Linked DNA regions of Pelodiscus sinensis. The protein of the gene in region 2 purifies or fractionates together with the protein of the main gene of each other region. This does not show direct contact. Links are inferred from orthologs where the notes say so. Each region holds a gene or a part of one and is shown on either strand. Other genes may lie near its edges.

Region 1 (6,992 bases), on a different chromosome or scaffold from region 2:
CAGGGATTCCAAGCGGTACCTGAACAAGTCCTTGTAGCATTGGTTTGAACGCATGAGCCAAACAAGGAGAATTACACTTAGTCCAGTGCCCAAATCAAGTTAAAAAAATATCCATAGCCAAAACTGCAGCAGCCATTTGGGTTAACCTAGGGGCCGAAACTGGAGTTTTGTTAGCCTGACCATATCCGTAGAACTTGAATCAAAAGGACCCCATAAAGTCCCTTACCACGACCACTGAAGTTGCTGCCACGGTTGAAGTTGTCATTGCCACCAAATCCACCTCCACGGCCGCCACCACCACTGAAGTTCCCAGAGCCACTGCGGCCTAAAGAAGAGAGCAGCGCCTGTTAGCAGCACGGCTCATATTGCCAAAGGTCGGTTTGGATGAGTTCCAAAGCAATGGATGGGAAACTGGCACTCACCTCGTTGACTGGATGATGCACTGGCCATTTCTTGCTTTGACAGGGCTTTCCTCACTTCGCAGTTGTGGCCGTTCACAGTGTGATACTTCTGAACTGGAAGGGAAGAATTAGACGTTAACTGTCACCGTGTCCTGATTTGAAACCCAGGACGGGTCCCCTTCCAATGCTATACAATCTTTACAGTTCACAGAGCTGTGCAGAGAACTTACTAACAATCTTGTCCACAGAGTCGTGGTCATCAAAGGTGACAAATGCAAAGCCCCTCTTCTTGCCGCTCCCACGGTCTGTCATGATCTCAATCACTTCGATTTTGCCGTACTGTTCAAAGTAGTCTCGCAGGTGGTGTTCCTCTGTGTCTTCCTTAATTCCCCCCACGAAGATTTTCTTCACTGTCAGGTGAGCACCAGGCCTCTGAGAATCCTAGACAGGACAGAGGGCAAGCTCAAGCATTATCTGAGATGTACAATTTTAGAGCTCCATAAACAGTGGTTCGAAATGCAACAGTCCCATTGCTCAAAGACAGAGACAATGCAAAATCGTGATACGTGTCCACCACAAATTAAACTGGTCCCCATTTACAATTACTTGTACAGGATGCATCTCTATAAACCAGAATGGTTTAACCCTAACCCTTCCGGGCCACAGATGTTCCAAGATGTCCCAGTCCTGGCACACTGTGGGGGGTCCAGGAGCCTGGCCGAGGGAAGGGGGGGGGGGGAAGAGAGAGAGAGAGAGAAGAGGCAGGGCAAAAGCTGGTGTGGGAGCCAGCTGAGCTGTGAAAAAAGCGAGGGGGTGGGGGTGGGGGAGACAGCAGGGGGCCAGAAATGACCTGTGAAAAATCCCTCATCTGGGATCAGTCGGGTCCCAATGGTACCGGACAAGGGAGGTCCAACCTGTAGTAACTACTAATGTGGTCCTGCTTTAAGTACATATTCTGGTAGACAGCACAGCAAGGAAACGCAGCATTGGCAGTTACAGACAGCACGATTAATGTAAGCAGGGTACTGCTTTCCCCAAACCACAAAGAGAATGGAAACGACCCACCTCAGTTTAACCCCTGGGTTATAGCCAAACTATGGTCACTTTAACCTCAACTCCTCCCTACAGAGCCCCACTGGATCAGTTCATCCTAACAGTGAGCCAATTTCAGGCTATGAAAACAGCATGGTTAGACTAAACATTCATTCATACCTCTCTGGATACAGCCCTCTTTGGTTCAACAACTCTGCCATCAACTTTGTGTGGTCTAGCATTCATGGCGGCATCAACCTCTTCAACCGTAGAGTACGTAACAAACCCAAAGCCCCTGGAGCGCTTGGTATTTGGATCTCTCATTACCTAGAAAGGACACACCTCCATTAGTAACCACAGTAAATAACACGAATCAAACAGGTGGCATAAAGACGAGAACAAAGGAACATCTAAAGTTATTTAGCACTAGCTTTGCCCTACAACTTTCCCTCTGCCCAAAGCTGGGACCTCATGGATCATTTGGTAATTTCCCTGTTCTGCTCATTCCCTCTAAAACTGCATTTGATACCAGCCACCCTTGGAAGACAGAGGCTACTGGACAGCATGGCCATTCCTCTGCAGGATTCCGTCTAACCCTAAATTTGCCGTTAGACCCCTTACTCCCCTGGAACAGTAGTTTACAGATGTCAGTAAAAACAAATTATTCAGCTCTTCCCGTGGCATCAAAAAAAAAAAAAAAAAAAAAAAAAAGGCAGCCGGGCCATGCAATCAGAGTCCTTCCCCCACATCTGAATGTTATTATCTAACACCCAGAGGATGCTCTGGGCCAGGCACTCACCACGCAGTCTGTCAGCGTGCCCCATTGCTCGAAGTGGCCCCGCAGGCTCTCGTCTGTGGTCTCAAAGCTCAGGCCGCCGATGAAGAGCTTGCGCAGCTGCTCAGGTTCCTTGGGGGACTGGGGAAGAGGCACAAAAACGAGTCAGGAAGGAGCAGCCAACAGGGCCCGTCCCCTGCTCCCCCCTCCCCAGGAGATGCCCAGAGCAAGAGATTGCACAATGACTTACAGGCTACCCTCCCCCCCCCAGAGGGCCCCCCCGTGCACACCAACCCCCCCACCCCCTCCCCCCGCAGAGGGCCCCCCCCTGCACACCAACCCCCCCACCCCCCTCCCCCCGCAGAGGGCCCCCCCCTGCACACCAACCCCCCCTCCCCCTCCCCCCGCAGAGGGCCCCCCCCGTGCACACCAACCCCTCCCCCCGCAGAGGGCCCCCCCCGTGCACACCAACCCCTCCCCCCGCAGAGGGCCCCCCCCGTGCACACCAACCCCCCCTCCCCCTCCCCCCGCAGAGGGCCCCCCCCGTGCACACCAACCCCCCCCTCCCCCTCCCCCCGCAGAGGGCCCCCCCCGTGCACACCAACCCCCCCTCCCCCTCCCCCCGCAGAGGGCCCCCCCCGTGCACACCAACCCCCCCTCCCCCTCCCCCCGCAGAGGGCCCCCCCCGTGCACACCAACCCCCCCTCCCCCCTAGAGGGCTTGCAGCCCTGGCGCGCGGGAGCCGCCACGCACGCGCACGCGAGGCCCGCCACGCGCTCGCCCGGCCGCCATGGCGCTCCTCCGGCTCTGCACAAAGGCGGGCGCGCACGCGCACATGGGAGCGCGGGAGGCTCACTCCCCCCCCCCATATCCCCACCACACAGGCGCCGAAGGGCCGCCCACCTGGGAAGGGGGGTAAAGCGCAGGCGCGAAGGCTGAGGCGGCGCAGGCGCAGAAGGGGGGGGAGCCTCCGCGGGCTGGACGGAAGCCCGAGCAGGCCTGAAAGGCGTAAGGCGCGGCCGAACGCGGCGAGGTCCGCGCCCCAGCAGGGCCCAGGGGAGGCCGCGCCGGCGGCGGGGAGCGGAGAAAATGGCGGCCGGAGCCGGGCTCACCTCGGACTTGGACATGGCGGGGGCGGGCGGGCGCGGGCCTCCGCCTCAGAAGTGCTGCGCGTGCGATGCTTCCTCCGCGAGGCGCCGATACAGAAAGGGCTGAATGACGAGAGCGTCGACGCCTCACTCCACCGCCCCCTCTTAGAGCCCCGCCCGCCGCGCGCTCCCATTGGAGGCGGCGGTCGGGGCACACCCCCTCCCCGCCTCCGATTGGATAGCCACGAGAGGCCGACACATCTCATTGGCGGAGGAGATCCGTGACCCACCCACTGCTACAGCCTACTGGCTAAGCCTGCGTAAGCCCCGCCTATTGACGCATCACGTGGCCGTGCGTGCCTTCCCTCCCTTCCTCCCTCCCCCAACCTTTTCCCGCGTTACTGGCGAGAGGCTGTAGCTCGCCTCTGATTGGTTCGCTCATGGACAGTCCCGCTCTAATCTGCGCAGTGATTGGCTGCTGCCGCTAGACGTGGGACTTGACTGGATGGCGGCAGTGTCAATCACTCGGGTGGGGGCGGAGGCGGCTCCCATTGAGGCGGGGGGCGAGCGGCTTTTTCTCCCTAGCACCAGCCCGCGCGCTTTGCCTCTGTGGAACGTGCGGAGCCGGGCTCCTGCCTGGCAGCCTGCGGGAAAAAGGGACTAAAGCCCACAGGTGCTCGTCTGCGCATGCGCTAGCGGAACCCGGAGCAAGCGCCCGAAGAGGCGGGGGGAGGGAGAGGACGGGCCGCGCATGCGCCGTGCGGGGAGCCAGGCGCCTGCGCGCTAGGGGGGCTATTTTGGCGGGCGGCGAGCGTTGCGCAGAAGCGGCCTCGGCTCTGAGGGCCTGCGAGAGGGGGGAGTCCGCGCCGGACCCGCTTCGTCCCCAGGTACCCGGGCGGCGGCGGGGCGGCTGAGCCGGGACATCGGGCTGCTGGGCTCGGGGCGGAGGGGGAGACGGGCTCATTGTGCGGAATGAAAGGGGTTAGGGGGCGGGCCCGCGGCCACTGACGGACAGCTCGGCCGGCCAATGGAGGGGCGGGGGCGGGGCAGAGGCGCGTGACGGGCAGTGGGGGGTGCTGGTGCCCGTCGCGCGGGAGTTGGGAGTGGCAGCCGGCTGCGCCAATGGGGCGCCGCCTGGGGGGAAAGGGCGGGGCCTTCCCGGTTGATTGATGGCGCGGCGGGCCAAAGGGCGCGCGGTGTCGGGTTGTTTCCTCCCGATGGGCGGGACAATCGGCGCCCCGCTCTGGGCTGGGGGGGGGAGGCGGCTGGGACACGGGGCGCGCCCCCGAGTCTGGGCTGGGGGAGCCGAGCCCCGCCCCCTCGCGTCCCCCTCGGCCTCTGCCCCCCCCGCTCCCCATCCCCCGCCCTGCCCCCCCCGCGGGCGGTGCCCCCCCATCGCCCCGCCCCCCGCTGCCTCCCCCCCGTGCCTCTGCCTTGCCCCCCCCACCCTGCCCTTTCCTCGGCCTGTGCCCCCCCCGCCCCCGTGCTACAACCCCCCCGTGTTGTGCCCCCCATCCCCTCTCTGCGCCTCCCCCCCGGCCTCCCGCAGTCCCGCTGTAAATCCTTCGTTCTGCTCCCGCCCCGCATTCCTGCGCTCCCTTGTCCTGGAAACTTCTCAGCTCTGTCTCTGCCACATCTCCTGTGCTGCCCTCTCCCCCCGCCCCTCCTCCTCCCTTTCCCACCCAGATCCTTGTCAGCCCCTCACTGCTCCTGCAGCCCCCCTCGCTGACTCCCCACGAGCTTCTCATGCTGCTCCTACCCCTTGTACTAGCTGCCCTGCCCTGTCCTGTCCTTCAGCCCCTCTGTTCCCTGCAATAGTCCCTGTGCTCCCCCTCAACCCTTCCCCTGCTGTTTTTCCCTGAGATCCCCTCCATTTCTCTGTCAACAGCCCTTCATCTGGGGTTCTCCCTATCCCCACTTGCCTGCTGTTTTAGTGAGAACCGAACCTGGGACCTCTGGATTAGTGTGTCAGCAGCTTGAGCTAAAAGCCAGCTGGTTCTCTGCAACATCTTGTTCCCTACTGCTCAGTCCCTCCTGGATATCTATAAATCCCACTAACCACAATTCCTGCTAATCCCAGTCTCCTGCAAACCTCCCCTCATGCACTCCCTCCAATGCCCTGCATCCTCTGTGTCCATCTCTTGGATCCCCTGCAAATCTCTTCCTCAGAAAAATCCTCTGCAACTCACCCCACCAGCTGCCCACCACAGATCTTATATCCTCCCCCCAATCTTCTGCCACGCACCCTCTTATGCTTGTCACTACCCCCCTGGGATCTCCTTCAACTTCCTCCCCAAGATTCCCTGCAATTCCCCTATCTCCCCCCACCCATGTCCTGCAAACAATCCCCCAGCTCTACTGCCCTGTCCCCTGAAAACATCCCCCCCCCTTTAGCCCTCCTCATCTTCCCACACAAAGATCTATAGCTCTCAGGCAGCCCTTTCTCCCCTCAAACAACCCTCATTCCTTTCTCTACCTTCACCATCCTCTGTAACTGCCCATCCATGGCTGCCTGATTGGGGGGCCACAAACTGTACTCTGCTCTGCAACCCATTTTGCCCCGCCCGGCCCCTACTCCACCCCTTCCCCAAGCCCTGTCCCTGCCTTGCCTCCAATGCAACCCTTTCCCAAAGCCCCTGCCTCCAGGTGATGCTATCTGTGAGATTACAGGGGGTTTGGCATAGGGCAGCAGCAAGGGTCAAGTCCCCCCCCCCCCCCCCCCACTGTGTACCCAGCAGCATTTTCTCTTCTGCCCTGCTACCCATCTCCTAGCTGAGTCACTCCATTTCCTGCTGTTGCAGCGAAGTGGAACCAGAGTCACTCCACTTCCTGCTGCTGCAGTGAAGTGGAGCGAGCTAACTGGGAGATGGCGGCAGAGTGGAGCAGGCTGCCTGTGAGTGGGATAGGGATGCCAACCTTTGCTACTGCCCAGAGCCAGCCCTCCTCCTCTCCCCCTCCCCCAAGTTATCCTTCAGACCCATCCTGGACCTTGTGGGCTAATGTCATTATGAGGGACCATCCCGTCTGTAGGACGGGTGGGGCAGCTACAGCAGGCTCTGGGGTTTGTCTGCACATGGGAAAATTAATCTGGAATAAGACAGGATGTGAAGTTATAGTGGCTCATAACTATCTGTAACCCACTGTTTCTTCTTTGTCCTGTGACTGTAGTAGAGTTAGTTGCTCACTTCTCTCTGCGGGTGTGTCTATACAGCACTCTTCACTCAGAATTAGCTACACAAATTGCGCTACGCAAATTGCATAGCTTATTTTGAGTGTATTTCAAAATAACTCACTATTCCAAAATGCCCCATAACCCTCATGGAACAAGGGTTACCAGGACGTCGGAATAAGCGGCCTGTGATTTCAAAATTGATTTCGAAATAACGGGCTGCTTCAATAGACATGGAATAGCTATTTTGGGATACTTCCGGTATCCCGAAATAGCTCTGCAGTGTGGATGTATCCTGAGTGGCCGCTTGCAATACATGTTTACTCCTTACCTGTTCTACACTTGTATTTAGCTGTAACACTCCGAATGCCTTTCCCAGAACTGAAGAAGAGCTCTGCATATACTTGAACAGTTGTCTTTCATCAGCTGAAGTTAATCCAATAAAAGATACTGCCTCACCCATCTTGCTTGTTTGGTATCCTGGGACCAATATGACTACAAGATCACTGCAGTTTACTATGGGTTCA
Region 2 (7,633 bases):
CAGTTATCCACTGTACTAAAATTTGCTATGTGCTGTTTTACATATAGTGACATACAAACAAACAATCTGTCACAGATTATTTTCCAACCTAAACATTTAAGGATCAGAATATTAGCAATGACAAAGCTAGACAAAACTGAAGCATAGGGAACTTTGGATCACATGAAGATAAAATATGCTGCGTCAAATTATTAGCCAAATAAGGATAAAAGCTTTACATGATTATAAAATACCTGAGATTTAACAAATACACTCTCCAAACATTGTCCTCTGTCATCAAATAAGGTTGCCTGTATTGAAATAGGAGAATTTTAAATTTAACAAATGTGTGTTAAGAAGGAACCAGTGACACAAGTAGAAGCTGAAAAAGTGGTACTATTATGCACATGATACTGAATTAAACCTGAATTCTTCACCTTATTTCCTCCAGTAGTGGTTTTCAAAACTCCATCTTGCCATACTTTCGATTTTTTAGTCTTCTGATGAGTGTATAAGACCTTATATTATAAAAAACATGTATATACTGAAATGATTTAGTAGTCATACAAGCCAAGCATATGTGAAATTTGACTATATCTTATATATAATTGTACTTAAAAATAAGACTCACAGTAAACTCCTGACAAGCCATTGCTTTGATGAAACACAGCAATCCAAAGGTTTGCAATGCATATATTCAGATCTTCATACTACTCAAAAAAAAGGGGGGGGGGCATATTTAGAATTCAACTCAGCTGCAAGGCAAGTGTGTCAAACAAAAAAGATACACATCCAGTGCTTTCCCTTAAAGAGTGGGTAAAAACAGGGTAGTGATGCTTGTGAGGGAATATTGGAGTGCTAAAGACTTGTATTCTAAACATAAACTAACAAAAGTAAAGATTAATAGCAGAAATAGCTTTTGTTTAAATATTAATATCAAGAAGAGATCTACTTTTTTAGAAACCTGAACATCTGCAACTACTATTCATTTTAATGGAAGTTGTGGCTCAAAATCATTTTTCAGATAAGTAGGTATTTTTATTTTAGCTGGCTCTTTGAAAACTATTAGCCTAATAATCTTATCAGAACATATAATCTACTACTAAAAAATTAACCAAACTTTCATGTCTCTAATGAGGCTTCATTTTGGGGTATCTAATTTTGAAACCCTCAAATCAATAATCACCCATAAAAAACTTGGCCTAAAGTAGTCAACAGTAATCAAAGCTTTATATAAACACTTCATCATTTTCAAACCTTATGACACACAAATACAGTAGAAAATTAACTGTCAAATATCATAACTTGTACTTGCATGTAAAGAGTTGCACTTAACATTGGGATCTTAATCATAATTATCAATTACTGACACTTCAATTAAAACCACAACCACAGGAACACAGCTAACACTGGCAATTGCTCTAACTTCTTGAAATTACTGGCTGACTGCATAGACAGCAACACAAGTGATAAAGAAATTGTTAAAAGCAATCACACATAAGAAAAGGCATATGAGAAGACAAAGCAGCTATTATAGGAAGATATTAGACTAGAGATTAATTAAGCAATAGTTCATGGGATTTAAGAATTCTTAGTACATTTTTAACATTTAGAATAAGTAGAGATAGGATGAAAAAAACTCATAGGATACCTTTTTGGGGATGAACTAGGAAATTATATTTGAGAAATAATACACTGATTGCGTTACTAGCAGATAAACAGATTCAATTAGCATTCTACATATGTGGTTTTTTATTCCATTGTAAATACATTTATTAAAAGAGGAAATATATTCACACTTTTTCTCATGACAGTGGCTCTCAAGCTATAATAGCTTTTTCATTAAAAATTCCAGTTTTAAAGTGTCTTGTCTTTCAACTTCTTAAATGCTACACACTCGCCACAAGGTGGCTCAGAACATTTACTTTACGTTTATTCTTCTCAGTCATGGTACTGTTTAGAAAGATGTATGGAAAGATCATGTTTCCAACTGTGCAATTCACAGATTGACCATTCTTGTAACAATACCAGAAGAGCTGTCTTCACTTCCCCTTACTTGATCTGATAATGGCTTGATTTAGCATTGTTTACAGAAAGATGGTTACTTTAGAGCAGAATAGGAATTTTCAGATAGTCTTTCTCTTTCCTAGTAATAAAATGGAACAATAAGAATGGAAATGATAGAATCTGTCAAGCAGTCCATGGGTGGGTGGCATGGATCAGCCTTTGTGTTGCACTCCCCCTCAGTACCTGATGCAATCTGGGAAAGTTAATGATTAGAGGCCTGCACAGATACAAAATAGTATCTGCATCCAATCTTCTATTCACAAACAGGGGCTGTGGATATAAGGAGACTGGCAGAGCTTTACTAATGATCCAACCACATGACCAAACTTAATGAATGAAGATGAATCCTGGTCCTCTGTCACCTGAGGCACATTGTGCATATGCTAAGAAGAGTAAACAGCTAGACCATTTTGAAGTAGACTGAATAATAGAGCCACCACTACAGATACATTGGTTTATTAATTCCTGAAAGAATATAATGGCAGCTGCTGAAAGCCTTAATGACCTAAAATAAATCAGTAAGGCAATGTCTACACTCGCAGCTTCTTGCGCAAGTATGGCCATTCTTGCGCAAGAATCCGCAGAGCAGCCATACTGCCTGCCCGCTCTTGCACAAGGAAATTTACAGTACGGTGTGGTAAGAGAGGGCTTCTTGCACAAGAGCTATGCTCTTTTTTAACAGGTGTAAGCCTTCTTGCGCAGGAGCTCTTATACAAGAGGGTATTGTGGACGCTCAGCAGGGATTTCTTATACAAGAAAGCCCTATGGCTAAAATGGCCATCAGAGCTTTCTTGCACAAGAGAGCACCCACACTGCTATGGGCACTGTTGCGCAAAAGCACAGCTTGCACATGGCAGTGTGGACATTTTCTTGCGCAAGACTTCTTGCACAAGAACCCTTGCGCAAGATGTTCTTGCACAAGAAGCCGCCAGTGTAGACATAGCCCCAGTGTGGTAATACTTAAAAATAAGACCCTACTGTATAACGTCTTTCACAGAAACTACCTCAAAATGTAACAGAAGCAAAGAAAGAGACATTGAAAGGAACACAATCACGTTTTTTCATTCAGATCTAGTATCAGAGTTTTTATGGTCCTTTCTTCATTCAGCACACTGTCAACCTGTGGAACTCCTTGCCAGAGGATGGGAAGACTAGGACTTTAACATGGTTCAAAAAAGAGCTAGGAGGTTAGGTCCATCAATGACTATTAGCCAGGATTGGTAGGAATGGTGTCCTTAGCCTCTGTTTGTCTGGAAATGGGGGACAGGAGAGGGATCATGTGAGGATTATCTTTTGTGTTCCCTCCCTCTGGTATTAGCCACTGATGGCAGACAGGATACTGCGCTAGGTGGACCTTTTGGTCTGACCCAGTATGGTGATTCTTATATTCTTATGAAAGGACTGGTACCAATATAAACTGTACTCATATATTCTGTGTAGAGTGTAAAACATTATAATTTTGCTCTCATATCACTCCCCTCATGGCAAAGGTGATTAACAGTTACTCTCTCAAACCATTTAGTAGAGAATTGTCAGAAACACTCCATGTCCAAATACTGGTCTTAGGGAAGTCTATGGGAATTTGACCACTGACTTCAATAATAGCAGAATTCACCCAATGCTGAGTGAGTGCTTTTAAAAATCCCAATGTTAAAAACCAATGGTTTTTACACATGAAAGTTGATTACTAGTGTAGCTGAAGTTGTTAACATTTCAAAGTCAGCTGGAGTGAAGCCAGCGCCAGGACTTATTTTTCTGCCTAAAAGCAAGGTTCTATAATTTTTAAATTTTCTTTTATCTACACGAGGTTTTTTTTAAGTGGAGCAGACCTGGCTACAACACATCCTACATCGGGAGCATGGTGACAGAAAGCACCAAAACCTGCAACGGAAAAGAGTTGGGCTTCTGCTCGCCCCCCCCCCCCCCCCCCCGCGCGCTGGAGCCTCATCGTTTTGGGCACTGTACAGACATGGGGCAGAGGCAGTTCCTGCTAGGGCAGTGGTTCCCAAACTTTTTGGCATCACGCCCCCCTTTTTGATTTCTGAGAAACTCCTGCCCCCCCCCCCCCCGCCCAAAAAATAGCAGCAAAACTTGGAGTGGGATTGTCGGGGGGGAGGGGCTGGGTCGCCTCGCCCCCCCGTTTGGGAGCCCATGCTAGGGAGAGCCTGGTTGCGCAATACTTTGTAACCTCTGCATTTCAAACACCAGCGAGGCCGGAGGAGGCTGGTACCGGGAGGGGAGAGTAAAAATGCTGCGGGGGGGGGGGGGGGGGGACACGGGACGGCCTGTGGCTCTGCTGTGCGATGCCCGACGTTGCGCGTCGCTGACAGCCCGCTCCTGTGGGTGCAGGCAGGGAGCCCGCAGGGCCGCTGCTCTCCTAGTCCTGCCGGGGGGGCTAAACCTCCTTCCGCCCCCCCCCCCCCGGCTCTTTCCCAAGCCGCCTGGCGCGGATGGCCGAGCCTCTCGCTCTGCAGACGCCGATGGGGGGGGGGGCAGAGCGCGGGGAGCGGACCAGCGTCACCTCCTCTCCCCTCCCCCCCCCGCGCGGCACCTCTCGAGCTCTCGGCTCCTCGCCCTGGTTTGAAGCTTTCCCGCGCCGCCAGCTACCGATGACGCTATTTTCCGGCGCCACGGCAGAGAATAGCCCCTCGCGCCGCCGGCCCGCGCTCGGAAGTGCGTCGCGCGCGGGGGGGGCGCCGATCTGGTAAGCCGGCGGCAGGGCAGGCGGGGGCTTTTCTTGCTGCGGCTGAGCGTCGCGCGCTGGCGGTGACGCTGCTGCAGCTCAGGAGAGGCGGGGGGCCCTGTAGGAGTTGGCGGCGGCGGCGGCGGCAGGTGAGAGCCCGGCTCTACGCACCGGGCGCGGGAAGGGGGGAAGCGCGGTGAACTAGGAACACTGTTAACCCTCTCCGCCCCGCCGGCAGGGGGCGCTGCGCGGGGGCTTCGCGCATGCGTCAGGCTCGTGGGCGGGGCGGGGCATTGGCGGCGCGTGGGGGCCGCGGGGGGCTCTGCGGACAGACTGAAGAGCGCTTTTGCCTAGAGCCGCGCAGTCCGGCACCCGCCGTGAACAGCGCCGCCTGCAGGGGGGGAGGGGCGTCCCCAAAGTTCTTTTGTCCCTGGGACAGGTTCAGAAAAGGGGCCGCGAGAGCGCTGAGGCCACGGGAAGAGAGAGATGAAGAAGACTGGGTGCTTGATAGGACAGAGCTCTATAAAATCATGGCGGGTGGAGAAAGTGAATTCGGGATAAAGGCATGTAATTGTTCCCATAGCCTATGAACTAGCCACCCCCAAACGAAACTAATAGCAGTTTTAAAACAAACAGAAGGAAGTAGTTCTTCATGCAGCACACAGCCAATCTGTGGAACTCCTTGCCAGAGGATGCTGTTAAGGCCAGGATTTTAACAGGGTTCAAAAAAAGAACTAGAGACATTCATGGGGGATTGGGCCATCAATGGCTATTAGCCAGGATGAGTAGGAATGATGTGCCTAGCCTCTGTCAGAAGCTGGGAGTGGGCAATAGGGGTGGGATCACTTCATTATTACCAGTTCTGTTCATTCCCTCTGTGGGCACCTGGCATGGCTAGATGGACCTTTGGCCTGAGCCAGTATGGCCGCTCTTATGTTCTTACATTCGTCACTTTTGTCCGTCAGGGCTTGAGGGAGTGACTCCAAAGTACTGTTGCTATCCCCCTCCGTCTGAGCCCTTTCCCAACAATTTGGAATGAGGCCACTGGCAGGAGGGGCAGTTTTGGGATCAGCGCACAGGTGTAGCGAAGAAGCTGCCTTCTGTCCTGCTAGGGTTGGTACTGGCTTCTCCAGCCATGTCTGCACCGCAGTAGAAACTCTGACTTTGGGACTCAGGCTTGTGCACTTGGTGAAGCATCCACGCTGTATTGTAAAGCTGGGCTTTTAGTTACTGGAGCTGGGTTAACTAGTCCAGCGTGCACTACGTAGATGTTCTGAATTGGGTCTGGCTACGGCTGCTGCCATGCTACGAAATGATAGGGTTTAGACACAGAGAGAATCAGACTCTTTCCCTCCTCCCTCCCTTGGATGGTCCCCAAGAGCTGGGTCCCAAGTGCTTGTTGTTTAATGTTAGGTAGACATGTGAGTGGATGAGAGGAGAGGTGGGCTTGAACCTGAGTCTGAGCCCAAATTTCCAATGCAATATAGCACATACTTTAAATGACTGCAATCCAAATTCTACTCCAGAGTCCCCAATTAAGTTAACCCTACTGTAATGCAAAACCAAAAATGTTATCGACTACATGATTAGTCAAGAAGGGAAGGTACTCATTCCTGGTTCATGCCGGGTCTGGGAGTTATGCCCCCCTGAAGCTCTACAGTTTCAATATAGCAAGACATTTAAACTGCACAGTCGCACGGGGAAAACAGGGAGCTCCTGGACCTGACAAAAGCCAGGACTGAGCCAAGCTTGCTCAGTCCCGGCTGCTGCCAGAGCAGCCTTTGTTAATGGCCAGCCCAGGCTGCTGTGAACAGGGGCTGATCCACAGGATGCGGAGCAGCCTTTGCCCGTGGCAAGCCTGGCCTGCCGTGGGCAGAGGCTGCTTCAAGCATCCCCCTCCTCCCACATTGCTGCTTCTGTTAGAGGCAGCAGTGCAGGAAGTGGGGGCAGGCGAGGAGATCTGGCTCCCCCCAGTTTCGGCTCCAGCTCTCCCAAAGGGGGGGAGGGGATTTGGGTAGTCAACTCGACTATCCGATAAGCTGAGGTTTACCAGGTAATCAGCTACTCGACTGCTTGCTTACATCCCTAATTCATAAGTTTTCATTATTGTTCATTTCTGTGCTTTGCTTCTTTGTACATAACACACTGCTCCATTTCAGTCTTGTATTTAAATTACTGGGGCAGCTGATGTTCATGCTAGTTGGAATTGAGCTAGAATTAGAAAATGCTCCACGCAGTAGATGCATTGATGCTGGTTTTAATGTAGTTATGTAAAAAACAAGTAGTTCTGATGACGCTAGAACAGGATATCGCTATAGCTACTTTGAGCAAGAAAATGGAAAAAATGTGTGTATTTTGGTGAGTGCCCCATTTATAAGACAATATTAGGAGTGCAAACTTTTATGATCTTTTGGGCATTTTCTATGACATTATTGTGGTTGAAACCTAAGTGACGTTTTTGTACAATTCTTTGTTTTTAAAGTACAAATCCAAGTCTGATTCACCTAATGAAAATATTTTTATGAACGTCAATTGTTTATTTGGTGTCAACATCGAGTCACTGTAAACCTAAGTAGTGAATGACTCAAAGGGAATGAGTTTCTTCTTCCAAAATAAATTTTTTAGTTTGTGAATTTTACATGTGGAGTGCCAGAAATGATAAATGTTTATGCAATAGTATGTAAATGAAAAAATGTCTGGGTCCATTCAAAAGCACCTGATGGTCTGGATTTGGCCCATGGTCTGCCTATTAACTGCCCTTGCTTGCTTTGTGGGATCACTTTTCTTCTTACCAGAGCTGTGGCTCTTCCCTGCTTCCCCGTGTGTTCATCCGCCAATACAGCTTAATATGTGCTGCTGAGCTGGCATCAACCAGTGCAGCTGAGCAGGCATGTTGAGGAAAAG

The links. The genes of interacting proteins can lie anywhere in the genome.
Region 1: the proteins of LARP7 (region 2) and HNRNPA1 purify together in Homo sapiens (affinity purification with mass spectrometry; 4 studies listed by BioGRID). This does not show direct contact. The link is inferred for Pelodiscus sinensis from reciprocal best matches to the Homo sapiens genes LARP7 and HNRNPA1.

What each region holds. Positions count from the first base shown.
Region 1 is NC_134729.1:1,218,320-1,225,311, reverse strand, and holds the start of HNRNPA1 (heterogeneous nuclear ribonucleoprotein A1), read right to left. Parts: upstream 3,094-6,992; 5' UTR 3,046-3,093; coding exon 2,962-3,045; intron 2,350-2,961; coding exon 2,233-2,349; intron 1,761-2,232; coding exon 1,614-1,760; intron 843-1,613; coding exon 632-842; intron 516-631; coding exon 423-515; intron 326-422; coding exon 227-325; intron 1-226. UniProt on the Homo sapiens protein: Involved in the packaging of pre-mRNA into hnRNP particles, transport of poly(A) mRNA from the nucleus to the cytoplasm and modulation of splice site selection.
Region 2 is NC_134715.1:31,430,686-31,438,318, forward strand, and holds the start of LARP7 (la-related protein 7), read left to right. Parts: upstream 1-4,614; 5' UTR 4,615-4,750; exon of another isoform or gene 4,751-4,878; intron 4,879-7,633. Other genes in the region: 5'-3' DNA helicase ZGRF1, read right to left, coding at 234-290, 417-497, 611-631. UniProt on the Homo sapiens protein: RNA-binding protein that specifically binds distinct small nuclear RNA (snRNAs) and regulates their processing and function.